Tamandua tetradactyla: one gene and its partners. The protein of the gene in region 2 interacts with the protein of the main gene of each other region in a pairwise test. Links are inferred from orthologs where the notes say so. Each region holds a gene or a part of one and is shown on either strand. Other genes may lie near its edges.

Evidence for each region.
Region 1: the proteins of NUPR1 (region 2) and RANBP1 interact in a two-hybrid assay, tested with the Homo sapiens proteins (2 studies listed by BioGRID and IntAct). The link is inferred for Tamandua tetradactyla from reciprocal best matches to the Homo sapiens genes NUPR1 and RANBP1.
Region 3: the proteins of NUPR1 (region 2) and FUS interact in a two-hybrid assay, tested with the Homo sapiens proteins (2 studies listed by BioGRID and IntAct). The link is inferred for Tamandua tetradactyla from reciprocal best matches to the Homo sapiens genes NUPR1 and FUS.
Region 4: the proteins of NUPR1 (region 2) and PTMA interact in binary tests that used the Homo sapiens proteins (3 or more experiments, as listed by UniProt). The link is inferred for Tamandua tetradactyla from reciprocal best matches to the Homo sapiens genes NUPR1 and PTMA.

What each region holds. Positions count from the first base shown.
Region 1 is NC_135331.1:28,486,228-28,493,883, reverse strand, and holds the start of RANBP1 (ran-specific GTPase-activating protein), read right to left. Parts: upstream 3,013-7,656; 5' UTR 2,744-3,012; coding exon 2,729-2,743; intron 1,441-2,728; coding exon 1,304-1,440; intron 1-1,303. Other genes in the region: TRMT2A (tRNA (uracil-5-)-methyltransferase homolog A), read left to right, coding at 3,282-3,320, 3,462-4,006, 4,182-4,290, 4,498-4,679, 4,866-4,980, 5,098-5,213, 5,291-5,402, 6,208-6,330 and 4 more. UniProt on the Homo sapiens protein: Plays a role in RAN-dependent nucleocytoplasmic transport. Alleviates the TNPO1-dependent inhibition of RAN GTPase activity and mediates the dissociation of RAN from proteins involved in transport into the nucleus.
Region 2 is NC_135349.1:24,816,987-24,822,993, reverse strand, and holds NUPR1 (nuclear protein 1), read right to left. Parts: upstream 1,991-6,007; 5' UTR 1,886-1,990; coding exon 1,771-1,885; intron 1,316-1,770; coding exon 1,179-1,315; 3' UTR 1,166-1,178; intron 835-1,165; 3' UTR 516-834; downstream 1-515. UniProt on the Homo sapiens protein: Transcription regulator that converts stress signals into a program of gene expression that empowers cells with resistance to the stress induced by a change in their microenvironment.
Region 3 is NC_135349.1:23,364,101-23,371,805, forward strand, and holds the start of FUS (RNA-binding protein FUS), read right to left. Parts: upstream 3,018-7,705; 5' UTR 2,906-3,017; coding exon 2,893-2,905; intron 1,313-2,892; coding exon 1,288-1,312; intron 1,197-1,287; coding exon 1,042-1,196; intron 364-1,041; coding exon 219-363; intron 69-218; coding exon 1-68. UniProt on the Homo sapiens protein: DNA/RNA-binding protein that plays a role in various cellular processes such as transcription regulation, RNA splicing, RNA transport, DNA repair and damage response. Binds to ssRNA containing the consensus sequence 5'-AGGUAA-3'.
Region 4 is NC_135329.1:207,652,539-207,659,842, reverse strand, and holds the start of PTMA (prothymosin alpha), read right to left. Parts: upstream 3,008-7,304; 5' UTR 2,820-3,007; coding exon 2,775-2,819; intron 101-2,774; coding exon 29-100; intron 1-28.

The DNA of each region.
Region 1 (7,656 bases), on a different chromosome or scaffold from region 2:
GCAGGGCAAATTCTCCTTAACCTGTGGGGCCACAACAGCAGGTGCCCTCATGAAGTGAACAGCATGGAAGCTGCAATCAGCTCCCAGTTCAGAGAGAACTTCTGCCCAGAAGCAGCACTTCGCACGGCCACCCTCTCAGCCATTCAGAAGCCAAGGCCCTGGTCCTCACCCTGCAGAGAGCTCCACAGCCATGCCCTGGGCACACACCAACACCCTAGCCTGCTGCCCGCCTCTGGTAGTCCCTTTCTGCCAGATTCCTGGGTACAGGGCAGGAGACTGTTCTCTCCCTAATCTCAAGTCCATTAAGGGAGTCTCCATCCTTACCAGGTGGTTGATCGAGACAGCCCTTGGGAGCCAAAGGCCAAGACACAATGCCCCAATCTGCGGCCTCGCTCCCTTCCAGTACCCAGAAGCACACCTATCCCACAGAAGTAGGCTTAGGGTTAGGGTTCCTGCAAGCCCTCACCCAGAGCCACCTCCCACCTGGCAAACCAGTGGCTCCAGGAAGATGGCCACTCCTCTCTATGACGAGAGGGGGCTGCCCCCTCCAGCGCCCCTCCCCTGGGCAGGAAAGGCCACCACTGTGTGGTGATTCTGCCTCTCCTCCCTTGCAGCCCCACAGCAAAGCATTCGAACCTTCCAGAACAAGAGTTCCTATACAGGTTGCGCATGAAAGCCACCTTACTTCCACTACCCTGAGCAGAATCCAGTGTCCCCCACACCTGGGAGCCTGGCAGCAGGCGCAGACCAGCAGTGCTGTGACCTGTTCATGGGTGCTTTGCTGTACATCCCTCAGTACAGCGCTTACACCTGACATCAGGGCAATGCACTTGAGTTATGAATGAGACACAACTTTTGTGGTTTTAAAAAAGTAAAAAATAATCCTGACAACTGTATCCAAACATCACCCGTCTTGCCATGTGATTCTAGGTCTTACCTTTTAGGTTTTAAAATATTACGAGCCGGAATTCATGAGGTTAACTGCCAATGGCCTACACAAGGCAAAGGCTGAGATTCGTTGCTCAACCAAGGAAGGGGCCAAGAAATGAGAGCTGGGGAGACAAGCTGGGGGACAGAACAGCAGTGATGCGACAGGAGGAAGTTGGGGGGAGACTCCATAGAGGCTTAATGAAGTGAACTAATCCCAGTTGTAGCTCTGAACTTCCACATAAGATCAGTTCTCCTGCAAACCTAGGTACTCTCTCCAAATAGCCCTGAGCTAGTTAAAGGAGAGGCAGAATATTTGGCAAACGTAAAAACCACAATTTTGAGTTTACACCAAAGGGACTGTTGGCCTACTTACATTTTAAAAAGTTCTTCTTCGTCTTCTTCCAGGGTTTTGATTTCTTGCTCGGGAAGACAAACAATAGGCTCAAACTGGGGGTCGTGGTTGGACTCGTCTGCATTCTCGGTGGAGGTGTCATGGTCCTCCTGAGTGTCCTGGGGAAGGACAGGCCAAGAGGTGACACTACTACCCACGAGGCAGGGCTGCAGGGCCTCGGAAAAGAGGGCGGACTCACCCCCAGGGAAGAAAGTAGCCCACAGCCTTTCACTGAGAATGGTTTGCACTTATGTGCACCTCCAGAGAATCACCAGGTGCGTGTGAATGTGAGACACTGGATATCACACCGCTCCCCCAACACACAAATTAGTCACATTTGCAGACAGACAGACTCCCAGGACGCAACCACCCACTTGTCGAGTGAGTGGCCCGGCAGACACCCTCTAGTCTCTTTGGGCCTCAGTTTCCAGATTCCTTGTCTGCCAAATGCAGATGATTCTGTTGTGTGGGCACAAAAGGATGTGATGCGTGAACCATGGGTTCGGGCTGTGGATTCCCCATGAAGCAAGCCAGAAACATATGTGCTCTTACTTACTTAGAAGAGGGCACTGGGAACAAATATACTTGGCATAACATTTCCTTTCTCCTCCTTTTGAAAGATAAAAAGTCTACTATGGAAGCGCCGTTATTTCACACGGAATACGCAGCTTTGCCAGCAATTTTATCGGGCTTTAAGGAATCACTACGCAACTAATAATCGTAAACTCTAGTTCAGGGCGTTGAGTCACAAAGCAGAAAATACCGTATTTTGGGTCCAAGTTTCATAAAACGTGTGCCTTAGTCATCTACCAATGCGCAAGACCCGCCGAGGCTTGGTGACGAGACTTGTGCCAGGAAGGAAAAGGTAACCCGCTTCGGGCCCCCTTTCCGGGGTCTGGAGGCACTGCGGCGGTCAGCACACCGCGCCGACACAGACAGCCAACAAAGCCGCCCCCGCCCAGGATCCGCAAGACCGGGGGCCCGTCCACCCCGCTGCAACGCGGGCCTCCACCACCATTGGCCCGCGGGGCATCAGGGCGCTAGGACGGAATGAATGGGGGGGCTGCGTGGGCGGCGGCGGCAAGGGATGCTTGGCCCCCGAGGGGACCCCGCCGCCCTGTGCGCGGCCCCGGAAGGCGGGGTCGGCGAATTCGAGACCGAGGAACTAGGGCGGCCGAGCCTCCCCGGAGCCGCCCCAAGGTCACGCGGGCGCCCCGCAACCCCCAACCCGCGCCCTAGGCCCCGCGTGCCCGCAGGCCGCGCTCCCCGCAGCCCTAAGCCCCCGCGTGCCCGCAGGCCGCGCTCCCTGCCGGCCGGCGGGGGTTGGCGACGCGGGGCCACCCACGTGGTTGCCGGTAGCGGTCCCGGCCCCTCGGTCCCACCCGCCCAGGCCCAGCCCCGCCGTACCTTGGCGGACGCCATGGGGGCGCGGCGGCGGCGGCGGCGGCGGCGGCGGCTCGGCTGGCTCGGTCGTGGCTGGCTCCGCGGCCTCTCGGCGGCTGGTCGGGGCTCCTTCCCTCCGCGTCTGGCGCCAGCACCTACCGCCCGCCCGCTCTTCCCTCCGCGCGGTGACCCGAACTCTGACCCCTGACCCCTGCGGCGGGAAACGCGCGGCGATTCAAAACCAGCGCAGCTTTATTGACCCAGGCGGCGGACGCTCTCATTGTCCCGCCCACCCCGGGCTTCCCGCGCACTCCCGGCGGCCCCCGCGCGCACTTCCGCCCCGCGGCCCGGAGCCACTCGCGTTGGCGAGGGAGGACGCGGTTCGGGTGCGGCGCGTGGCGATGACGTCGCCAGAAGCCGGGCCTCTAGAGAAGTGCGGCACGGAACCCCGCGCTGGCGGACGGGCGGGCTGCGTAGCCCGAGGTCAGAGCTCGGAGCAGAGCCCCGAGCTTCGAGTCCCGTCCCCGCTCTGCGGCGGCGCCTCCCGTGGGTCCCAGGACATGGCAACGGGAGGACAATGAGTGCCACGTCCGACCACGAAGCCAAGTCAAAGGAGGTCCGACCGGGGTGGGGGTGGGGCGCGGTGGAGGCATGGGGGTGACACGGAAGCGGGTCCGGGCGTGCAGCCGGGTGGGGTGGGGATGGGGGCCTGTTGGAGCCGGCGCTCTCGTTCCTAGCGCCTGCCGTGCCCACGCAGGGCCCCAAGCCCATGGAGGACTGCCTGCAGGATCGCAGCGAAGCGCAGGGCAGCCCCCCGCAGCCCGCGCAGGATGGGGAAGAGGCTGGAGCCCCGGCGGCTGCCAGCCCAGAGCCCGGGCTCTACGGCTACATCCGAGACGACCTGTTCACCTCGGAGATCTTCAAGCTGGAGCTGCAGAACGTGCCCCGCCACGCCAGCTTCAGCGACGTACGGCGCTTCCTGGGTCGCTTCGGGCTGCGACCCCACAAGACCAAGTTGTTCGGGCAGCCGCCCTGCGCCTTCGTGACCTTTCGCAACGCCTCGGAGCGGGACCGGGCCCTGAGTGTGCTGCATGGCGCCCTCTGGAAGGGCCGCCCGCTCAGCGTGCGCCTGGCCAGGCCCAAGGCCGACCCTATAGCCAGGAAGAAGCGGCAGGAGGGTGAGGGGTTGCTCCCGGCCACGTGCATCGCAGACGTGGTCACCCCACTTTGGACAGTGCCTTACGCGGAGCAGCTGGAGCAGAAGCGCAGAGAGTGTGAGCAGGTGCTGCAGAAGCTGGCCAAGTGAGTATGGATGTGTCCCCGTGGCCTACTCTGCCCTCGCCACCCCTCAGCGTGGAGACCACTGCAACCCAGAGTTAGGCAGTGAGGTCCGGAGGGAGGTGCGCAAGAGCTTGGGCATGTGGAGGGAAGGGCTGCACGGTGGCCCGAGTCCAACTGCGGCCGACCTGTCCTGCAGGGAAATCGGGAGTACCAACCGCGCCCTGCTGCCGTGGCTGCTTGCACAGAGGCACAAGCATAACAAGGCCTGCTGCCCGCTGGAGGGGGTCAGGCCGTCACCTCTGCAGGTTAGGTCTGGTTGATGCAGTCACAGCCTTCATCCCACTCTCTTACAACCTTCTCTTCTACTTTTTATCCCTTTCCTCGCTTGTGATGTGATTTAGCAGTTGTCAGTCTCATGCCAGGTGCCTTGTTACCCGCGATGCCCTGTTGGCGAGTGCTTGATGCTGAGTGGGGTCAGGCATGCCTTTCCCTGTCCCCCTTTCCTCGTGTAGACTGAGTATCGCAATAAGTGTGAGTTTCTGGTCGGCGTGGGAGTGGACGGAGAGGACAACACTGTCGGCTGCCGGCTTGGCAAGTACAAGGGCGGGACGTGTGCCGTGGCATCCCCTTTCGACACCATGCACATCCCTGAGGCTGCGAAACGGGTGGTGAAGGCTTTTCAGGAGTTTATCCGGTAAGAACATAGGTGCTTGGGAAGCAGGGACCTCCTGCGGGCCCTTGGGGTCCTGCCCTGGGGAGCTGGAGATCCCACTGTCTCTGAGAAGATGGGCAGCTGGTGAGTTGGGTGGCTGTGCCCCAATCCTGGGCAGGCAGGCGGCTTGGAACACTGCCAGCTCAGAGCCACCCTTGGCCTCCCCAGGTCCAGCCCATACTCAGCATACAACCCAGAGACATATACAGGCCACTGGAGGCAGCTCACTGTTCGCACCAGCCGCCGCAGCCAGGCCATGGCCATTGCCTACTTTCACCCCCAGGTACCAGTCAGGGGTCTCACGGGGGTGGAGAGGTGCTTCCTCAGCTCAGATGTGTTGGGGATGCCCCAGGCCAGTGCAGGCAGCATTCCCTGACGAGGCCTTATTCTGCAACCCCAGAAGCTGAGCCAAGAAGAGCTGGCAGAGCTGAAGGCCTCTCTCACCCAGCACTTCGTAGAAGGGCCGGGCAGGGCCAGTGGGGTGACCTGCCTGTACTTCGTGGAGGAGGGGCAGCGGTGAGTGGCCAGGGTGGGCCAGGGCGGGTACCTGCGTTGGTCGGCCAGGCTGATGGATCCATCCCCAACCTCTACAGAAAGACCCCCAGCCAGGGGGACCTGCCCCTGGAGCACGTGGCTGGGGACAAGTACATCCACGAGGACCTGCTGGGGCTCACTTTTCAGATCTCTCCTCATGCCTTCTTCCAGGTGCGCCTGGCATCTCCGTGGGTTTCAAGTGCCCATGGGAGGATGACGGGTGGGGTAGAGTGGGACAGGGTGGGGACAGGGCAGGCCCGGGCCACGGTCAAAGCTCTGGGGAGGTGCCTCCCAGCAGGCATTTATGAGGGCAGACTGCGTGAACTGCCAGAAATTGAGTCTTGGCAGCAGGGTGACAGCCTTCATGTTGCAGCAGCCCCCTCTGTCCTGGGAGGCGAGGGCAGCACACCTACCAAGGTGCCTCTGGGCACAGCACCAGGGAGGCCCTTGCAGTCTTGGGGCCAGGGTAACCCCTAAATCTCAGCCTTGCTGCTGCAGGGAAATGGGGGTAGGGGAAGGGGCAGGTGGTCTCTTGTTTTCACGGGGTGTCTGTTTACCTGGGGTTTTGTCTGAGCTGAAAAGCTGGCAGTGCCGTTTGCTGGGAGGGGAAGGCTGGTGTGCTGGCACATGAGTCCCCAAGGCCTGGGGGCCGGTGCTCAGAAAGTCAGCTGCTTCTACCTGGGAGGTAGATCAGGGAGTTTACTTGGTCTTTAAAGCCACAAGACCCGTGAGGTTAGTGCTTTTGTGTGGACAGAGGGCCCGTCCGAGAGGGCCTGGGCACTCACAAGTGGGGCGCTAGAGGTGGGGAGCTGGTGGGAGGCTCAGTGCTGCTGATGGCAAAGGATGGGTGCAGAAAGGTCATGAGGTCACAGTAGGAGGGGCTGTGCTGGGCGTCTGGGTGCTGCCGGGGGTGGGGTCCAAGGAGGGGTAGCCTCTGGGCAGCGTGTGTGACGTTTCCTGCCCACCGCTGCTCCAGGTGAACACGCCAGCAGCCGAGGTGCTCTACACTGTGGTCCAAGAGTGGGCCCAGCTGGACGCAGGCAGCACAGTGCTGGACGTGTGCTGTGGCACCGGCACCATAGGCCTGGCGCTGGCCCGGGTGAGCCCTGCTGTCCCCTTCCCGCCTGCCCGTGGACCCTGCCTGGGCCCCAGGGCCTTTTCTCACCCACCTGGCCCTGTGCAGGAAGCCTCCAGGTGGGGAGCTACTGGCCTGCTACTCTTCCTTTTCAGAAGGTGAAGAGGGTAATTGGGGTTGAGCTGTGCCAGGAGGCTGTGGAAGACGCCCGGGCAAATGCCCACATGAACGGTGAGGGCAGGTGGGCCCGGGAGGACGAGGTGATAGGTGCCCCCCAGCACAGCCTCTAGGGCCTCTGCTGGGGTCAAAGGGCACAGAACAGCTTCCCGTGATCCTAAGTGCACCCACCGTCCAGGGGGCAGGACAGCAGGAGGCCGGCAGGTCCTCACAGCTGCCACACTGTCCCCAGAGCTGAGCAACGTTGAGTTCCACTGCGGGAGAGCCGAGGACCTGGTGCCTGCCCTGGTGAGCAGACTGGCTGCCCAACAGCTCGTCGCTGTCCTGGACCCGCCCCGCGCTGGCCTGCGTGAGTACCCTCTCCTGGCCCCCTATCCACCTCACCTTGAGGTTGCTGCCCTCGGGGAGTGGGCCTCAGTGACTGGGCCCCCATCTGTCTGTGCTCAGACTCCAAGGTGCTCCTGGCTGTGCGCAGAGCTGAGAACCTGAGGCGGCTCCTCTACATCTCCTGCAACCCCCGGGCGGCCATGGGCAACTTTGTGGAGTGAGTAGGAAAGGGGGTGGTCGATCAGGGCTGGGCCCCAGGGCCTCCCATAGGAACCCTCGGCTGGCCTGACGCCCCGTCCACCCCCACCCCACAGCCTCTGCAGGGCCCCTTCCAACCGTGTGAAGGGGATGCCTTTCCGGCCGGTCAAGGCGGTGGCCGTGGACCTGTTTCCGCAAACCCCACACTGCGAAATGCTCATCCTGTTCGAGCGAGTGGAGCACCCTGATGGTGCAGGGGCCCTGCCCCCGCCAGGGCCCCTGGACACCTCCCAGGAGACTGGGGCCCCCACATCTTCCTAGGCCTCTGAGGCCAACTCTGGGACCACTGGAAGCTGGACTTGAGAACAGCACTGGCCTGGCGTGCTGGGGCTCTCCACGGGCCCTGCCTACACCCCTGCTCATGCAGAGGACAGCCTTGGCTGCATAGGCCACGGGACCCCCGGCCGGAAGGGCAGAGCGGGCACCAGCAGCCTCCCACTCCCCTCAGCCCCATGAGCTGGGCCTCAATAAACCGCTGCTGAACTAAGGACAATTCTCTGGTGATCAGTGCCATGGTATACCAGGGCCACTCCATGGGCACAGTGTGAAGTTCTGGCTCCTGCTGGCCCCAGGCCCAGCTGAGAGCCC
Region 2 (6,007 bases):
GCTGCTAGCACCGAGTGAGACTCGTCCTTCCCAGCTGGTCTCCGGGAACCCAGTCCCAGCAGCTCCCCGGACAAGGAGACCTACCTCTTGCAGACAGACTAAAACTCCTTGAACCTGAGCTCTGAATCTTTTAGTGTCTTAAATCTCAGTTTTCTCTACCTTGTAGATAGCACCCATAAATAGCATGTCCTTCAAAAGTGGTTGTTCTCGAGCACAACATAAACAAAAGATTGTTATTCAGTGAACCTGTGGGAAGCGGGAGGGGTGTGTTTCCTGGGCAGCATTGCAGAGAAACAGGAAATTCCCTGCACCCAATCAGAAACCACAAAAGGTACCCACCAAAACACAGCTGGCAGGAGCGGGCCATATAAAAACAGGAATACGCCCAAATCCACACACCAAATATGGACCCACAAAAAGTGCTCTCTCATCAGTTCATGCAAATGCTGACCGAGGCAGGCAGAGACGTGTCCCAACAAAAACGCGCAGAGGGGAGGATAAAACCACACAAGCTGTAGCTGCCGTACTTGATCTCTTTATTGTCGCCTCTGCCCTGGGGGAGCTCTGGTTTCTCCAGCGTCTTTCCCTTTTGGGGGGCCCCTCCCTGACTCTGCCTGTCCATTCCCTGTCTTTTGCTCCCATTTTGCCATTTTTGGGGGGTCTGGGGTGCCCCCTTGGTGGCCCTGAGAGCTTTGGTTAGGTGGGTGAGTTCTGGGGGTGGGGAGGGGGACAAGCCGGCCTGGGTCCTGCCCCCAGGCCCTAATTCCTCCGTGGTCTGGTCTCCGTAGTTCTGTCTCCGTTGCTGGTGTTGTGGGGTCCGTGCTCTGGTTTCACCTGGGGTGGGGGAGGGACGGGAAAGCACGTGGTAAAAGGGCCCGAGACTCAGGTTCTAATTCTGTCTTCCTTGCTCATTTGCTCTGTTGACTCCAGACACCTGCCCAGCTGTCTCTGGGCTTTCATTTCTCTAGTTGTAAACCAAATTTCCCTCCAATTGGAAAGGTTCTGTTTCCCTTTTCGTTCTGGCCGCTAGGAAATTCAGAGCCAAAGGTGTGTCTCCTCTTCCCGTGAGAGCCCAGGAGCGCTGCAGACCCCTCCTCCCCCAGGCCGGGACCAGGCGCCTGCTGGCTGCCTCTGGGAGGCAGAAGGAACCCCGCTGACTCCTCACCTCCAGCTCGGCCTCAGGGTCGGGCCCCTCGCTTTTTCCGCTCTGCATTCTGGAGCTTGGTCACCAGTTTCCTCTCGTGCCCGCCGGGGCTGGGGCGGTTGGTGTTGGCGGCCGCTTCCCTCTTGGTGCGTCCTTTCCGACCTCCCCCTCCTGGAAACCAAGGCAGGAGTCAGAGGCGAGGGGGGCTGAGGCAGCTGTGGGGTCTCAGGGGAGAGTGGGGACCCACTGAGTCCCCACTTTGTGGGGTGGGGGGCAGGTGCTCGGGCTGGATACAGAAGACGGGGGGCTGGTCACCACGAGCTGGGGACAGTCCCAGGCCCCTGTCAGCTTGTTTCCCTATCTTGGGAAACGTGGGGTGCTTGGCGGCTCTGTGGTTGCTCCAGTATTCTGTGTTGTGAGGCCCTGGAGTCCAGTGTATGGGGGATCAGGAGGGGGTGACTTGGGGGCCCCAGGCTGACCTGAGGGTCAAGGGATTAGGTTGGGTGGACAAGGGCAAGGGGTGGGGAGAAGCCCAAGGAGGGGACCTAGTTCAAGGAGGTCAGACCGTTTGCAGGGGGCCAGGGATGGAAGTGGAGGGGCAGGAAGATGGCGGGGCCGGGCCTTACCCAGGTGGAAGTGGCTCAGGCCGTAGAGGTCGTGCTCATCCAGGTGAGCCTCGTCCTCCTCAGGCCCCAGCGGCTGCTGGGATGGGCTGGCTGCTGGCGGGAAGGTGGCCGTCATGGCCTCTGACCCTCACCGTCCCTGTCTCCTCTCTCGTCCTCTTCTAGAGCTCTGTTTGTCTGTGTCTGGTTCCCCTCCCAGGCGCCTCTCCCCTCCCCGTTTATAAGGCCGTGTCTCTGCCTCAGCCTTGTCTGGCTGCCATCCCTCGGGCCCTGGCTGATGCAATCTGGCCCTTTCCCAGAACCTGGCCCAGTAAACACAAGTCACGAGAGTTGGGTCCGTAAGCCCTGGCCCCCCCCACCCTCTCCTCCACCGGGGCTCGCCCAGCTGGGTGTTTTTCCACAGAGGAGATCCCCGCCCCTCGGGGAGGAGGGGAAAGGGGGCAGGGTCTGGGCACAGACAGTCCTTGGAATCAGGGCCAGGGGGGCATGAGGGTCTCTCCCGTGCTGCCTCCTTCCTGTCTGCCGCCCCCTCTCTGCCCCTGTGCCCCTCCTGGCCTGGGGTCCGTGACCACATAGCTCACTCCACCCCTTTCCCCCCCATTCTGGCTTAGATTCAGGGCCTGAATAGCAGCACATGGAGTGGGGGTTATATCCAGATGCGCCCTTCCCAGTTCAATCCCACTTCCTTTGTGTTCCTACTGTGTGCTGGGTTCATGCCCCCAACCCCTTTTTTACTAGAAGTTCCTTAGGGCACTAGGTAAGTGCCCTCACCTGACAGTATGGCTTACAGATGGTTAAGTGTGCAGATCTTGGAGCCAGATGCCCTGGGTTCAAACTCCTGTTCCAATTCCACTACTTCCTGTGTGACCTTGGATAAGTCACTCAAACGCTCTGGGGCTGTTTCTCCTCTATAAATTGAGGTTGATAAAGAATTCTATCTACCACAAAAGTTGGTGTGCAGATTAAATGAACATATGGGAAGGAATTTAGAACAGTGCCTGGTGCAGTATGGAGGACTATATAAGGGTTAGTCACATAATTTCAAAACTAAAATCAACATAATACTCTAACTAGAACTCAAAGGAGAAAAAAAGGAAATTTATAATAAGATAATACGTATTCCAAAATATGGATATGACTGAGGTAGATATTGGTGTCTACTTATTATTAATTACATGAACTTAAGGAAAGAGTTTGGATAAGAAACATGTGAAAATAGAATATTCCACTCTTGCCTGAAAGTTCTGTATCTTGCTGACCCAGAGAAGGTGCAGCCTCAGTTGCCCACTCAGGTTTCCCCTGAGGCTGGTATACCAACTCCCAGCACCTGTCATCCAGGGGCAGGGAACTGGATGGACAGGAAATTCCATTTACTCCTTTTTAATTAAAAAAAAACAAAACCTCTGCAATCTCCAGTGAAACAGCCCTTCTCAGCCCAGGCCAGATGCTAGCCTGTGCACACACACCCACTTTGCTTTGAGCCTATCAAAAACCCTGTTCCATTTCAGTGTTAACCTAAACTGCCTCCTTCCCCTAAATCCTGTAATAACCCAGCCTCCTCCTCTGTTTAACAAGCAGCAACACTTCTGCTTGTGTTTCTCCCTTGCCTGAGCCAGAATTAAATTTAGCTCGTTTCCCAGATTTGGGTGATCTGTGAGTTTTTTAACACACGGGAAACGAAACTGCGGACGGGAGGACACAAGGGGAAAAAAACAGGGTTGGGATGACCATAAGGTCCCAGATGACAGGAAGAGGGAACTAACCCTAGTAAAGACAACACAAGCTAACGAGCCTTGATGTGGAGAAAATGAGAAAACGAGGTGTTCTTGCCAAGGGACGGGCTTTATCACTAGGTGTGGTAGCAGAACCCTCCCCTGTAACATGGAGTTAGGCTCTGCGTTTGGGAAATTACCAGCCTGTGTCTGCGTTTCACCTTCCTGAATGTCTAGCAGGGCAGGGCACCCCAGTGCGCTGTGGGGACTCTCCTGCTTGGCCCAGCCCTTTGAGCCTCTTGGACCCCACTTGCTAGAAGCTAGCGTGGTCTCCTGTCCCCGCGACAACCATGCCAACATGGTCAGTCGAGCAGGTGACACTGGCCCTGGTGAGGAGCGGGTCCACCAGGCCTGGCCGGATTCTGCCTGTGAGATCTCAGGCCCCCGTCTGCGTCCGTTCCCTCGCCTGGGATGTGACGAAAACAACAGCACCCACCGTGGGTGCCTTAGCCCTGAGCCAGGCACCAGCACTGCTATTACCCCCACTCTGCGAAGAAGGGAGACCCGGGCTCAGGGTGTGGGCTGCTCAGGGCTGCAGGGCTGGTGAGCGGGGAGTGGGGGTGGGGCCTCCTCGCAGTCTACCTGCCCCCCGCCCCCCCCCAGCGCTCTCTGGGGGTTGGCACTGCTGGACAAACGCTGGCAAAGCCCTGGCCCGCTGTGTGTGTGGAGGCACCTGGCAGGATCCCTTCCCTCCTCCACAAGCTGTCATTAAAGCCGGCCTTGGGCCAGGTCCTGTGCTGAGGGGCGGCCATGCCCTCCGGAAGCTCGGTGGGGTGGGGAGGTGGCCTCCAGCCCAGCAGGGCACACCCCTGTGGAAAACACCACACAGAGCCCCTGTGTGGGGCTCTATAAAGGTAGTCTTTATTCCATTAACCTGACTTGATGTGACTTTCGTCACAGCCTTCCGTGATTGCTGACTGAAGGTATCCTTTTTGTTTACTTCTCCATTATTTGTTTCCACTAGAATGCAACTGCTGGGTTTAGGTTAGTTAGCAGCTGAAGGAGTAGGCTCTGGAGCCGGAATCTCTGGGTCTAAAGCTTGGTTCTGCCACTTGTCAGTAGTGTTGCCTTAGACAAAGTTATTTGGTCTTTCTGTAACTCAGTTTCCTCATTTGTCAAAAGGGATCCATAATGGTATCTACCTCGTGGGGTTGGCTGTGAGGTTTAAAGACTAATTCTTAACAAAGGCTTACCACACGCCTAAGACATAGTAGACATTCAATAAATGTTAGCTACTGTTATCATTATTCATTAGAATAGGAATCTTGTCTGTCTTATAATGCATTATCGATGGCTGGCAAAGAGTCAGTGTCAGCTGAATACATGAAGTTATGCTGAGATCAGTATTGCTTGTTCAACTTTCAGATGCTCTGCTCTGCAGGAACTGCGAGGCCCAACCCTAGTCCCACAGAGCCCATGAAGACATTGTGACTGTCCTCCGTGGAGCCTGGGACTTGGCCCTGACCTTGCAGGTGCTGGAGGAGAGAACAGACTCTAGCATGGGAGTGGTTGGAGGAAGGGCAGCCAAGTGAGAAGGGAATCCATTCAAGACGGACCCTGTGGGGCCTAAGAGTGACTCAGTGGGAAAAGTCAAGATGTGTGTTTTCCCAGCCTCTCGCCTCCAGGTGTATATATAATTAGCTACCAGGAAGTTTATTTTTCTCTGCTTGTGACTGTACCTTTATGACATTCCATGTGGTTGCCAAGCACACCTATTATATAACCCATACTGGATTATAATATACTGAGCAAAAACACAGGGGGCTGGGAGAATTCCCTGGATGGATGTGGGGGGTGTGAAATCAGGGCAGACATCCTAGAGGTGGTGAAGCTTGAACAAGAATGGTGATTTGTGGGAAAGACTGCAAGAAATGCCCAACTCCAGGAGTTATACCACCCAAATCAAGAAAGTTGGATGGCCTGGCGGTATGTGGAAGTCACTAGCTCAGAGGATGTGAAGCTTCCCAGGCCAAAGGCAGGGTGTGCCATCAAGGTGGGTCAGTGCCACTGCTGTACACCAAGGGAATGTTTAAATAAGGTGAAACAGGATGTATCTGTCTGCCCTTCGGTCCTGGTCAGAGATGCCCTCAAACCCGGAAGCTGTGTTGGAATTTTTCTTAGTATGGTATCATCATTTTAAAAATAAATGGATGCAATCTTCCAATGGGCAGTATTGCTAAGAATGGTAAATGTACTACTGACTCCTTGATATTGGAGCCTGACTTCCAGGAGTCTTTTACAGAAAGACTTCCAGGTGAAATAAAGATGCAGGTACAAGGATGTTGACTGTAGCCTTGTTTGCAGTGGTGAAAAGCAGGAAGCAAAGTGTCCCAGTGGGGGACTCATCAGCCTCCTTCTGTGAAATACTCTGTAGCCATTAAAAATAAGCTCTCTCTCTAGCTCTGATGAGAAAGGGGTCCACAATACATTGTTAGGTTAAAAAAAAAGCCAGTTGTAGATATGCATGT
Region 3 (7,705 bases), about 1.5 Mb from region 2:
TGGACTGTTGCCCATAGCCCCCACTCGGGGGCTGTCCATAACTGCTGCTCTGAGAACTGCCGCCATAGCTAAAGGAAAGGAAAAAACCAAAACGAAAATGTCATAATACCCAAAACTTTCCTTCACTTTTAGCACTTCCCATTTCTTTTAATTGTTTCATTATCACTCCTTACCAATTCAGCCCCAATCTTCCAGGTCTTCCCCCAACCCCTCCTTACCTTCCAGAAGTGCTGCTGGGAGCTGGCTGCTGCCCATAGCCGGGGTAGGAGGACTGCTGCCCATAAGACGATTGGGAACTCTGTCCACTGCCATAGCCACCAGTTGAGCCATATCCCTGGGGAGTTGACTGGGTGCCATAACCTGCTACAAGGCAAAGAAAAAGGGAGCCACAAATGCTATGAGAGGAATGGGCAAAGAAGAGGTTGGAAAAAAGCCACTTCGTTCTTCCTAATACAAGTTACCCTTCTCTTCTACTCTAAGGCTAAGGTACCAACTCCTTAGGACAGTATATCTCAGCCTCCCAAAACCCAGTCTTCAGGATCATGATCTAATTTAAGCCCACACGAATCCTACTTAGTAACAGCATTTTAATGTATGAGCAACGAAAGTTATATGCTTAAAGGCCCCAGGGCAAATTTCAACTCCTACCGTATCACATGAAGTTTGAGAGCCTAACTTAAAACACCTTCAAGCAAGCCATTTCCTCCCTATTAAGTACCAAACCTAAAATTGTTTTTCTTTAGGTGACACACTCCCCTCTTATTTTACTTTCATGCTGAAAATGGGAAAAAGTACAACATAAATAGAAAAAACAGTCGAAGAAAAAGGAATGCATAGAATTACAAAGCAACATTAAGCATTTTTGTTTAAAACAAAAGTTTTTACTTTCAAAAGTTTCTAAGAAGTTATAAGTTATAGACCGGATAAGAGAAAAGAAACATGGAACAAATGGCACTAACATTTTAGCACTACTGCGATTTAAAAGAAAGGCAACATTCAGAAAGAGCAGGGACAGGTGAGGTGACCCACTAAAAGACTCACTGTTCTGGGTCTGCCCATAAGAACCACCATAGCTGCTTTGGCCATATCCTGAAGTGTCTGCCGACTGGCCATAACCACCATAACTCTGCTGTCCATAGGGTTGACTGCTCTGCTGGGAGTAGCCCTGCCCAGGCTGGGTGGGGTAGGCCCCGTAGCTGGGTGCAAAACAAAGCAAAAACAAATACAATGAGAAAAATACACCTCTGCCACCCTGCCCTCAACGAACTGTCCAGAATTGACACTCACCTTTGCGTTGCTTGTTGAGTATAGTCTGCAAAAAAAAAAAAAAAGATTCACATTACCTTCAGCCAGTCTTCCCTGAGAGTGTGACAGAGCCCTAAATTCCCTTAACTCCAGCACTTGGGGCCTCCAAATCAAGAAAATGAGCAAAAACTATGGTGCAAAAAAGGCCATAAATTTTCCCCTATAAGACATTAGTTGGAAGGAAGGAAAGGTAAGCTGGTAGATGATCATCAAAGAAAGATGGTCATGCCAAAAAAGTGTGTTTATGCGAAGACCAAGGAGTCTTAATCCACTACGCAAGAAAAAATTCCAGGATCAAGTTACAATTTTCTGCAAACTTAATTCAGTTCAGAAACTGCACTAAAACATTTTACATACAAAATTCATTTTCACAACTACCCACAACTCAAGATATGATAACCTGCCAAGGGTCACAGAGCTACCTGGGGCAGGTTTGAATTCAAGCCCGAGGAAGCAACCTCCATTCTCTCAACTGAGATCCAAAGAACAAGAACGTGTTCAATAGAGACCATTTTCGCCCTCTGGCCAATCATTGAGAATGGCAAAATTGGGGTTTTAGCGCAGTCAAGAAAACAAAAGCGATCCCCTTTGATACCAAATGAGAGAGAGATCGGCCTTCGAGAAGCTTGCTCAAAAGGCAAGACTCAGGCCTGAGGCGCCCAATGGCGTCCGTTTTCTCATCTACTCTGCTTTCCAGGGAGCTGCAGAAAAAATTCGGCGAACCCAAGCTAGTGAGAGCGCTTTTAAAACGCCACAGTAAAGGTACAGTATCCAAATCGACTCAACTGCTTAGGACAGGAAATGAGGTGCTTCCCTCGCTGAGAAAGGAAGAAAGAGGTGTGGCTAGGGGCGGATGTTCCTTTCCATCCCCATCTCAGAGAAAAGGAATTTAGGCGGGAAAAATGTCGGGCCAGATTCCGTAGTCCGTTGGTCAAGCCCCCATGCTGCCCCCTCCCACAGACCGTTAAGCGGGCGCGCGGCCTAAGCGCCGAGCCTCCGCCCCCGGCCGCGTGGCAACCCAGGCGGGAACTGGGCGGTTCCACCCCCTCCCCAGGGGCCTGGGAGGGCAAAGCCCACACCGGACGCGCACTGCGGGGTCTCCCGCGGAGGGTCTCGCGACAAAAAACGGGGCCAGCACGAGGCGGGCAGGAGTACGCGCCGCGAGGAAGGGGAGGGGCCAGAAGAGCGCGTGCGCGCGCGGAGTACCCGGATGCAGTACTGCGACAAAGCGGGCCCAAATGCGAGGCTGGGAGCGAGGGAAAGGAAGGAAGGCTATGGAGACTAAGCACTTCCACCTTGGCTCACGCTCCAAAACGCAGAGAAACGTCCCCTTCCATTCCCCACCTCAAGTAAAGAAATGTTAGGAAATATCTCCTGCCCTGCGCGAGAAGCGCCAGGGAAGAGAAACAAAATGGCGACATCAGCCCTCACCTTCCACCCTTTCAGCTGCTTCCCGCCGGAATGGTCCGTAGAGACGACCCCACCACACGCGATCGCCATCCCGGTCCCAGAAAAAAACTAAGGCCCAGCAAGAAAGGAACGAACTCCCAGGCTAGCATGCCACCCCCGCCACGCGCCCTTACCTACCGTTTGAGGCCATGTCCGCGCACGCGCAAACGGCCCGACAAGCAACACAATTCCAACACTACAGAGCACCGACGCCTCGAGAACTGAGCGGCCCCGCCTTCTTCGTCGAGGTTTATGTACGCCTCCCCGCCTACGTACCGCAGGGGAATGTACCAAATGTGGAAAAAGAAAGGGGGAAGCACGATGGGGCGCCTACCAAGCTCCAGGAAATATATGGGATCCGAGCAGACGAAGAGGGAGAAGATTGGTCATAAATGTGCAACTCATAATACACAATCTTATTTTTCTGGTGGCTACCACAGATTCCCTCGGGAGGCCTAGCCGATTATTCAGTTTCACCCCTAAAAGGCCAAAATGGTACAGCCTGAGGCCCCCCGCTGGGGGCGGGGCGAGGAGCCCGAGGCGTCTGAGAGCGGAAGTACAGTCGGGAGTGGCCCGGCAGGAACCGAAATTCTGCCTTGCCCATTTCACTGGGCCGCACTTTCACTTAGGATAGCGAGCTCCTTCTTGCAGCTGCATTTTCGCTTCTCCCGACGCACCGTCCCTCCGGCCACCCGCCTCCCCTGCGCTCTCGCACTCTCACTGATTCTAACGATCCTCCCCCAGTAACACCCACGGACCCTTTCCCTCCCGGCCTCTCGGTTTTCACTTCATCCTCTTTCAGGGATACCTTTTGGTCACCCCTGTGAGGGCTTGTGAATTGTGACGTTTGACCTGAAACAAAGCATAGATGATGTTTGCCAGACCCTTTGGTCATAATCTAGTCCGGCGTTGAGTTCTCATCCTGTTGCCCCCAGCCCTTCCGGTGACATTGCACTCGCAGATTCTACATCAGGAGTTCCCGGCCTCTGCCCTTGACTGATACGGAGCTACTTTTTATTTTCTTGAAGGCCCACCACAGAATCAATTTGGAGATCCCAGTAATAACAGCCATTTTGTATAACGCTTAAGTGGCTTCAAAATGCGCAAAAAGTTGTTTTCCCATCACAGTGTTGGGAAGAAAGGGAAGGTATCTCCATTTTCTGATAGATAAGAAAAGTGTGACTCCTGCCAGATACAATCAATGATGAAAGTACACCTAAGGATCAACAAGTCGTGATTCGAACCCAAGTCTGTGTAACTGCAAAACACTCCTTTAGATGGTTACAAGAACGCTCTGGAGGGTTGGGAAGCCTGTTCACTCACCATGAAAGCAAGGGCAAAAAAATTAACTTGAAACTTGTACTTTAATCAGCCTTGCCTGGAAAAGGCAATTTGAAACTATTGAATAAAATAGAAGACGTTACTCCTGGGTATGCGTGCCAGGCAGTTTCCTTCGCAACTTACCTTTGGCCTGGGTTCTAGAAATTTCTGGGTAGAAAGTAGGCGTTTTCCAAGAGAAACAGTGAGGGCTGTGCCCCAGGCCTGATTAGTGATCTGTTAGCCCTTGAACACCCCACCCCATAGGAAGGGAATGTGGCTCCGGAGTGAAGGCAAAGGGAAGTGTGTCACTCATTCGTTTCATTCATTTATTCAGTATTTATAACAAGCTCTAGGGATATATTAGTGTACAAAACAGATGAATCTAACTTTTTTTTTTTTTCATGGACAGGCGCTGGGAATCAAACCCGGGTCCTCAGGTATGGCAGACAAGCACTCTTACCTGCTGAACCTCCGTGGCCCACCCTGAATCTAACATTTAATAATGAAGCTAACATTTAACAATGATAATATTCATGTATTCTGCATATTTGTATATATATTTTTATAACAGCTAACACTTCAAAAGGCTTTCTAAGTATTAGGCACTGTTCTGAGTGCTTTGAGTATAATTTGTTTAATCTTATTCTTCACAATAAACCTACGAGGTGGAGGTCGGTGTGAGAATTGCATTTTACAGATGAGGAGCTAGGCACAAAATGTTGAACGCCCTGCCAGGGCTACTCAGAAAGTAGCCCAAATGGGTCAGTCTGACTCAGAGTTCCTGCTTGGGCAAACATTGCTTGAACACTGCATAGCATGTGCAAGCCAGGGGTCAGACCCAAAGAGAGGATAAAAGAAGATCCAGTCCCTAAACCGTAGGACTTTTATGACCAGGGGTGAAATGAGACACAGACCGCAAAGTGAACCTAAAAGAAATGTGGTAAGTACTCTAACATGGAATGAGGGACTCCAGAAACTCTGCTGAGAGAGCAAGTCATGTACCAGGTAGACAGAAAGGTAGAGATAATTTGGTAACATTGAAGCTAGGCCTTGCAGGATAAGTAATTCACCAACCATGAAGAGAAGAAAGGGTGCATCTGGCAGGAGTGTCAGAGACAAAGGTATGGATGGGGAAGGGTATTCATGGGCAGAATAATGGGGGGTGGCAGGATCAAATTGGGGCCCCTGAAAGTCTCCGTACAGGGTCCATGTCACCAGACTTAACTCTTTCAGTGAGTTTCACCTGAGCATGTAACATGGGGACCTCTACTTAATGGACACCCCTGCTCCCAGCCCTCCCACCTCTCCCACTGTTGATTCTCTGTCTTGTCCTCCTGCATTCTCTTTCTCTGCTCACCAGAGGCTCTGTCTTCAGCCTTCTTAACTTCTCCCTCAAAATGCAAGGCCCAAACTGCAGCCTGACATCTAATTTAGCCTACTTTAGGATATCCTGTTATGTATATTTTTTCTTTTCTTTTTATCCTCTTGTATTTTAATTTTTTTAAGTAGTTGCCAACACTGAAATAGAAAAATGTTACATCAAAATCCAAACTTCTGGCTTTTTCTTGAAAATTGGAGGTTCTGACCGTCCTGGTCCCACATTCTCATAGGACAAGGGTCAAGTTGAAGAAGAAGCCACCACCTTTAGCTGGGGCACGCGCTTGTAATTCACCACTTGTAATATCAAGGAGACTCCCTACGTAAGAATGCAAAGAAAACATTAAATGGAAGTAGTAGTCAAAATATTGTTTTAAAATATCTTTGTAATATACTAATGCATTAAATGTAACAATCTACTGGCAAGTCTAATAATTGTAATTTTGAAGTACATTGGAATGTAAAAAATATTTTAATATTATCTGTAACGTCTGTGATGTGATCTGAAAATTTATGAGATTTCTGTACGTGGTGAACACCCTAGTACTGCTAATCCTGCTGTGATTTGTTCCCCTAGTCATCAGATTGGGAAAAAAAAATGTTAAATGGCAGTTAAAGGTAAGTGAAAATAAGGACAATATTTTCTCATTCAAGTTTGGAACTGCTGAATGCTATCTTCAGAAGCTTTCTGGAGTTAACTCTAGAGGTTAAAAACTCTGGCTGTAGACTAAAATGTGATCTGGAATGTGATTTCATTCATGTCATGCGTTCATCCCCCAAATGTGTATGTCCAATCCTGACTTTCCTGAGTTCCAGGCCCATACTTTGGGTCATCTCCAACCCAGTTTTGTCAAGCAAATGCACCTCACAAGATTTGAGGCAGCAGCCGCAAATGGGAAGTTCAGATTCTGACCAGTAGAGTGGCTGAGACCTTTGATTCTTCAGGGATAGCTCTGGTGGAAGTTATAACATCCTTAGTATCACAGAAGCCAAATGCATGAAGCAACAGCCCTGGAATTTCCACTAGAAAAGTCCTATGCTGTTGCTGGACTCTTAACCTGGTTTGTAATACTGGTTGGGAAATGTCCAAGCTTGACTCCTTGACCCTCCCAGAAATTTGGCAACCATCTGTAATAATCTCTCCACCTATCATAATCTCTTTTTGCTTAAACTACATAAAGTAGATTATGTCTCCCGCTGCTAAGAACTTCAGTTTAAACCACTGTCATTGCAACAGCATTTATATATCAAAAGATTAGGAACAACCTAAATGCCCATCAATAGGGGATCTGGTTGACTTAATTATTAAACAGAAAGATGTCTCAGTCTCAGCACTATTGGGATTTCGTGTCAGATAACTCTGCTGTGGGAAGCTAACCTGTGTATCATAGAATATTTAGTAGCACTCCTGACCTCTACTCACTAGATGCCGGTAACAACCCCCAAACCCCCAGTTTGACAACCGAAATTGTCTCCAAGTATTTGCCAGATGTTCCCTGGAGGAGGAGGGTAGGGACAAAGGTTGAGGAGCAATGTGATACAGCTATACCATGAGCTAAAAAAAGATGGGGGTGGTATTTCTGGATTTTGAGAGGTGGTTTTATATATGTATAATCTGATGTTAATGAAGCCGATCAGGTCAGGATTAAGGTAATTCAGAACATTGGAAGGAAGACTTTGTCTGTATTTTAGAACAGTACCTGCTCTTTGAGACCAACGGAAGAAAGGTTTGTTTTGTCCAGAACCTAAATTTTCTGTAGCACATAATCTAACTCAACCTGTCAGGATAGCTCATTTCAACAATCAAAACACAGGCAGCCCAGAAGAAGAATGAGGGTCTTTAATCCTGTGTAGTTTAATGTAATGCGTGGGTACATCCTAGAATATATTAAGCAGATAATCAAAAAGTATTGGCAGAATCCCTTGAGGGATGGAATTAAAAATACAGAACTATTAAACTCTACCACCAGGGAAGCTCCAGATAATGTGTCAAACTTTAGGGACACCCAAATCAATAGGCCAACCCCTTGATCTTGAAGCTTACTCTTGTTAAGCTGTTGTAGGTAGCAGAGAAGCCTAGCCTCCTTATAGGTATGCCTAAGAGTTACTTCTGACCTCTTTTGTTGCTCAAATGTGGTTGCACACTCTCTAAGCCCAACTCTGCAAGTGAAATCATTGCCCTCCCCGCTACATGGGGCATGACGTCCAGGAGTGAAAGTCTCCCTGGCAGCAGGGGAGATGACTCCCAGGAATG
Region 4 (7,304 bases), on a different chromosome or scaffold from region 2:
TAGGGCTCCTAAGCAGGTGGACACTCACAGCGTTCCCATTAGCAGGTGCCTCTCTTCCGTTCTCTGCCTCCTCCACAACTTCCTTTTTCTCCTTTAAGTCCTTCAAAAAGGAAAAGATAACAAGTCCTTTGAGCTACCCCGCGACAAAAAACAAAACAAAACAAAAAATCCGGGCCTGAGGACTACAGTAAGGCTGATTTATTGGACCAAAGTGCCAAGAGGCCACGTGGAGCCAGTGGAAGGAGGAACAAGCCAATCTCAGGAGCTACGAAGCACGTCCAGGCTCCAGCCTGCCGATCTCTCACTTATGGAAGGAGCACTGAAAGCCAGAAGCCCCTGAGGCTGTTCCATTCCTCCCTCACCCCTTGCTTCTTACAACAGGAGCCATGTGGCAACCACAGCCCCAAACCTGTCTGGCCGGGCAGACGAGCCCACAGACACTTCACTCTCACTCACGCCCACCACAGACTTGTCTCCAACCACGGAGAGCTCCACCTCTCACAAATCCTTCTTGGAAAGTAACAGGTACGTGCCATAAATAAATAAGGCAGTGAAGGAAGAGCCCCAACAGCATGGGGAAAACCCCCCTGCGTAGACTAGGAGAGAAGGGCTTGGAAGGATAGGGGCTGCCACTGGCCTCCCGCTTCTTAGCAACTCGGGTGAGCTCCAAGCCCTGGGTAACCGGGATCTGGAGAGCAGGGTATCGGGAAGACCCCAAACGCTATGAAGTCCGCCGACCACTGCCGGGAAACAGGAGCAGGCTCTCCAGGTCCGAGGCCTCCCCCTACCTTGCCCAGCCGTGCACCGGCCGGACCAGGAGCCGGCCTCTAACGCCGCTGGCGTGAGCCCCACATTCCCCTCCCACTTTCTCACCCTCCGCAGGACATCAGGAGAGCCGACACGGCCCGAGCTCCAAAGAGCAGTGACGCCACCGGTGCCCTGAACCGCGTAACTTTTTCCACCAGCGCGGCCGAGTCGTCCGCCGTCCAGCAAGAGGTCCCGGGGCACCCGCCGGGCCGGTTCCCAGGGCGGAGGGGCTGCCGCGGCCCCCTGGCACCGCCCGCTCCCGCCCCCTGGCGGCCGAAACCCCGGGGAGCGGGTGGGGGCGGGGAGGTTGCGACGCGCAGGCGCGCTCTCCCCGCCCGGCGGGCTTTGCGCGCTGGCCTCGGCACGCACCGCGCGCGCGGAGCACGTGGCCCCGGGCCGCCAAGTGCGCCCCTGGCTGCCCTGGAGACCCGGAGTTGCGCTTGCCCTGCCGAGGCCGCGGGCAGCGCGCCAGCCCTTCCCGACTGCCCGACGCCCTCTGCGGTCTCCCCTCAGCAGCCTCTGAAGCGTGGGCCTGCGTCTCCGCATTTGGCGGGCAAAGTCCCTCGGGACTTCTCTCAGCCCCGCTCCCAAGGCCGTCGGAACGCATCCCACCCGGATATTTATTGCCTCCCGCGGGAAATTCCCCTGGAAGAAAGTGGACGCAAAAGCCGCGTACTGAGTGGCTCCGACCCTCCCTATGAATTGGTTCCCGGGCTGGATCCAGAACCGGCCCGCGAGTGCCCTGCCAGGAACCGGGCCGTCAGTTCCGCTACGCCAGGGGAGGCGGCCTTGGGAGACGACGGGAGATGTCTACAGGAGCAGAAGGGTTAAGGAGACGCCAAGGTGACTCCCACCGCTCCGTGCGTGGGGGGTGCGGGGCAAGGGGGGCGCAAACCAGGACCGAAAGGTAAAAAAGCCAGCCGGTCTCAAACGCAGCGCACCGCCGAAGGTGGAAACGCTGCCGGTACAAACAGCGGCACCGACGCGGCGGCGCGGCCCGACCTTCCGCCCGCGTCAGCGGGAGCAGGAACTGAGCGGCACCAGATAACAGCTCAAAACCGAGGGCCCTGGACCCGCAACGGCGGACCCCGGGAACCCCTCCTCCACCGGCACCGTTCGGCCCAGCCACTGGCCTGCCGCGGTCGCAGCTTTTGTTAGGTTCCGTCGCCCCCGGAGCAGCCGCGGGGGGCGTCCATGGTAGCCCCGGCGCGCGGCTCCTTCAATTTCGGCTTCCCCCCCTTCAGGCGCGTGGGTTTATACCCTCCTCAGCCAAACCCAGTGCCGCCGGTGGATTACTGAAGCTAGGCGGCCGCTCCCTGCGCACTCCCCCTGGAGGGCGCCCACTCCCGCCTCCCCCGAGGGCTCGGAGGCCGAGAGACCTTCATACCTCCGAGGGGACAATTGACGTCTCGGCGCCGGAGCACCAGATAACCCGCCTCGGGCCCGCCGCAGGGCGCGAAACGGGCTGCCCGGCGCCGAACAAAGAGCAGCGCCGCCGGCGGGCGCCCGCGGAGAAGCCGCCACTTCCCGCAGCCCGCCCGCGCCGGCACGCGCGCCCCCCAGCACTTCCGATTCCCAACGCGCTCGAGTTTCAAAGTTATTTCCGTGCGCCCCGCGGGCCGACGACCCCAGCCCGGCCTCTCTTCCCGCCGCCACTCAGACGAATGACAAACAAGTTTCGCGAGCCGTTAAGGCAGGCCTGCCCGAGCTCGCCGCCTCCGCGCCCATCTCCCCAGCTTCCCGAGGGCGCCCGGAACGCTCTCCGACGGGCACCACGGATGCCCGCGGCGTTTCCCGACCCCTCCCCCGCACACACAAAGACTGGGTTGCCTGCAGGAACCCGGCCGGGAGCGACGGGTTCTCCGCCCGACAGAACAGCAGACTTGGGGCTGTCCAGCCGCCGCGCGCCAAACACCCATCCGGCGCCGCGCGCGGACCCCGAGGGGGCGGGCGGCATCCAGCCTCACCTTGGTGGTGATTTCGGAGCTGGTATCCACGGCCGCGTCTGACATGATGGGGCACGCCGGTGATCAGAAGCAACGGATTAAGAAGAAAGCGAGAGTTCGGGGACTCTAGCTATAAACCTGCCGGGGTCCGCGGCGGTGGCGCGCGGCGGCGGAGGCGGCTGCGGGGAGCAGGAGCCGGACCGGGAACAATGCAAAGATGGCTTTTCCGAGCAGCCAGTGGGGAACTCACGCGGCGCCAGAACCTTTAATATAGATTAGTGGGCGGCGCTCAGCCTCCCTTACCTGGGCGCTATTGGCTGGACGCAGGGAGCGGGCGCTCTCTGATTGGCTCGATGCCGAACAATGGGCAAGCGGGCTTAAAGCGGCAGTGCCTCCGCGCGGCCTACGTTGCGCAGTCGCGGGCCGCACTGTCATTCAAGGCTTGAGTTTGCCGGGCCTCAGCGGCGCCAGGCTCGCGGGGGAAGGGCGCGCGGGCGCGCTAGGGACGCGCGCTCCCGCGGCTGTTTTGCTGGGGCTGCTGACGCAGAAAGCCGAAGCGCGGCAAAGCTGCCGGCCCAGCCCCCCGCCCCCGCGACTGCTCGGAAGGAGGGGGAGGGAAGAGGAGGGGGAGGGGGGGCGGCGGGCGTGCACGACGGCAGCTTACGAGGGGGAAGGGAGGGCCCGGGTGCTGGGCTGCGCTCGCCCGGGGTAGTGTCCTGCGCAGTCCCCATGGAGATGCCACCCCAGCGCCGGGGCACCTTCCACTAAGAACTGTCCCCGAGCAAATGGGCGGCAGCTCCACGACGTGCGGCGAAGGCTTAGGGCGAGACCCGCGCCCCTGGTCCGCCCCGCCCTTCCCCACCACGCACCCCCACCCGCTCCCGAGGCCCGGGCGTTGGGACTTCGTGGGGAGGTGATTCAATTATTGCCCACCGTCAGCCCCGCGCCCGCCACCTGTAGTGGCCGACGAACGGGCACCTTGCCAAGCATACACACTCGGGGACTCGTGCTTCGAGTGGATTCGAGGGTAGGATCAGGGGCCGGGACAGACGTCACCCCTCGACCGGGACAGCCCGCGGGCCTCGCGCCGAAAAGAGTCCCCTACACCCCAAGGCTCTAGCGCCTGTCCTGAGTGGTCCCTGTCGTCGCGACAGCTCGGGGCAACCTCCTTCCAGGGCCCCACCCGGACATCGAGTCTATTCGTCTCCCACTCTGCCTCAGGGTTGCGTGGGGCACGTGAACCTCCCCATTACGTGGTTATCGGGGGAAATACTCGTCCCTTAGGTCACCTACGCTAGTCTTTAGGGGCGCCTTGAAATTTGGGGCCACATAGCAACCACGCGGAGCCCCGTGAAGGGAGCCATCAAGAAGCCACGCTCAAGATGGCGTTGGACTCGGCAGGCGTGGCGTGATGTGGCACGCCAACCCACACCGAGTATTCGAAAACTGTAGGCTGCATCCTCTTTATCGCCACCGCACTTGCACTTGGCTGTCGAACTAAGAAATCTGCTGGGTGGAAGGAAAAACCAGAGTGAGAAAATACTCCAGAAAAATACCTGTGCCACACACAAGATGGCGACAGATAAGGTTCGGCCTTGCGGTGCCAGAAGGGGGCGCCCGACACGGAAGGCGGGACTCCGGAAAAATGAGCGCACACTGGCCCAGAGTGGCGGGCGAACACAAAGTTGACGCTTTGCGTGCTGCTATTGGCCGGGTTTACTGTCTGTCTCTTGGGGCTGCCGATCTGGGAATGGGGGAAAACCCGGAATATGGGATCTTGGAGTGCGGACGAATGCGAAGTCCAGCAGTTTGAGGCCAGGGGCGAGGAGAGGCTCAGTTTCTCTTCTCGGTTCTCTTAGGTCGAAGTCGAGCTGGCCCTATTCTCCTGGTGAGGCCGAGCTTCCCAGAGACTCACCGGGCTGCCTCCCCCGGGCCCCCGGCCACTGTGGACGAGGGCGGGGTGCCGGGGCACCCCCCAACCTGTCGTCCTCACGCGCCCCTCGCCCCGCACGCGTCAAGCCCGTATCCCCGCGCACATCTGCCAGTCTGTCCGCTGGCCTCTGGGGCTTTCCCGAACAATTTGGTTTTGGGGGAGAAGCCCGGACCCCTGTCCTTTGGTCGGGAGAAACATGAGGCAGGTGCTGGGCAGGGCGGGGGCGCCGTGCCAGCTCCTGCTGCCCGGCGGTCGCCATCAAGTTCCCGGCGCGCGGCAGCGGTGGAAGGGGGCGTCCCCCGGGTCGCCGCCCTGCCCCAGAGCGCCCCAAGAGCGGAAGGTGGAGTTGGGATTTTCTTCGGGCTGGGACCGCGCCAGTTTTAGGGACTCTCACAATGGAGTCCCTGAGGACCACGCGTCCCAACTCTTTGTTCGGGCCCTTCCCGCCGCCGACCCCCGCCTTTGGGCCACATCCTCAGATGACGTGGCAGGGTAAACCCATCACGAGAGCGCCGTCTACCTGCGGCGCGTCCCTTAAACTCTGGTTACCCTCGAGGAAGTTGTTAAATCCACAAAACCCGGAGGCAGGGAGCGCTTGGCCCGGGCCAACTCTAGACGTATCCAGACTTCCGGGCTGCATGGTGGCCTTGGGCAGTCACCTCTGTGTCCACAGCTGGAAAATAGTTATGACCGCCTTGGATTTTGGCTTTCATGGAGGTTGGGGAACTCCGGGAAGGGCTGAGGGGACCGTTTAGCAAGGCCAATTTACGTTGTTCAAGCACTAACTGAACCCCTACTGTGTACAAGGCAGGAAGCTTTTGGTTCCTGCTGCAAGCCTTCTCATTTATTTTCTTACTTAAAAGGTGTGTAGGGAAATTATGAGGTTGAATCATCTGAAAATGATGTTTTTGTAGGTCAAAGCCCATTGAATATTAGCCAGTTTATAGTTCCAATCTCTAGTGGGATGTCACCCTCCTTCTCACAAATCAAGAAAAGCAGACCAAGGGACTCCAGCAAGGGACTTGGAGTGACCAAGTGAGTCAGTGCCTGGGCTGGGACTAAAATCCTAGTCTGAAAGAATCTGGGTTGGTGTGTGCTGGAGTGTAGGGCTCCCTCTGGCGTTTTCCTGGCTGTAGGGGGATTGTATCTGAGTGCTTATAAGTGGTGAAGTTACTTAGGCTGTGAAGCCCTTCATTCCTCCAGCCAAGGCAACTTCCAGGCTTCCTTGCTGTCTGTGAACTGGGCTGGTCTTCCTGTCCCCTGTCACTTCCACTCATTGATGCGTCTCCTGCTCTTTGATGCTACAGAGAAGGCCAGGCAGCTCCAAGACAAGCTGGGTGTCCCTGGCAGGCCGCATTTCCTGTCCAACCCAGGGCTTAGCTTGGAGTGCCTCTAAACTGGGGCCCCAAATGGCCTCCAGGCCAGTTTTGTTTACAGCCTATGACCCAGTCTGAGTCACTCATTTATTTCACCTGCCTGGCCCTGGAGGCATTTAAATTTGCAATCCCTGCTTCTGAGCCCTTTGCAGCCTGTTCCTAATTGGTGATCTCCAACTCTGCTTCGTTCCGTGTGACCAGGAAGAATATAAATCCTGGTGAAAGTGCCTGAATTCAAATCCCAGTCCTGCCACATGTTAGCTATGTGGAATTGGATAAGTTACTTCCTCACTTCTAAAGAAATGGATACAACCAGCATAGTGCCTTCCTGAAAGGGTGACTGGGAAATTTACAAGTTAACAGAAAAAGCAGTTGGGATTTTGAGGGTCCCATTTTTCAGCTGCCACCTGTACAGCTTGGTTTTATAGTATCTGCAGGACCCTGGGCAGGGGAACAGCCTCTTCAGCAAATTTTTCCCATATTCAGTGGGAAATGAGGGCACCGACCTAGCTGAGTTTCTGGAAGCCTGTGATTCGATGCCTGGCCTGCTCAGTGCCTGCTCTGGCCTCAGAAGAATGACAGTCTGGGAGGCAACCTGAGTTAAGAAGGCCTCAAGAAATCCCGCCTTCCCTCCCATCAGAGACCCAGGAGTTTTCCACTGTGTTTTCCTTTCAGGCATAAGGGCCTGGGGAACTGCCAGGGGCCTTTCAGCTCTCCCTCCCTGCTGAGCCCGGGCGGGATTGTGTAAGTGCCCCACCCCCACCCCCCGCTCCCATGCCCTGTGCGCCCGGGCCTGCCTGCCCTGTCCACCCATCTTCCCAGGGAGCTGTGCCAGAGGGCCTGGCTCAGCTGTCCCATACAGGTCTGGCTGCCCCGGGAAGCTCCCACCTGGCAGAGGCTGGTGGAGGACCCATCCTTTGATGTTGTAGGCCTACCCCAAACTGATGCCAAGGCCTGGGGTGCCTGTTGCAAGTCTAGGTAAGGGACTGAGGGGTGGTGTGTGTGCACTCAGAGAACTCTGCCCCTGCCAGGGCCCAGTCCTCCTGGGCTCTCTGGGCAGGTGCCCCACCTGTGTCCGCAGCCTTCCTCTTTCCTGCACCCATTCATGTCCAGGCACACGTTTGCATCGCTTGAGCTCCACAGGCATTTTCCTTGAGCTCTAGTTCCTGTCTGGGTGTGAGGAGGCCCTGCCTCAGGCGACAGGGAAGGTATTCGCTGCAGGAGCACACGGACACACACCTA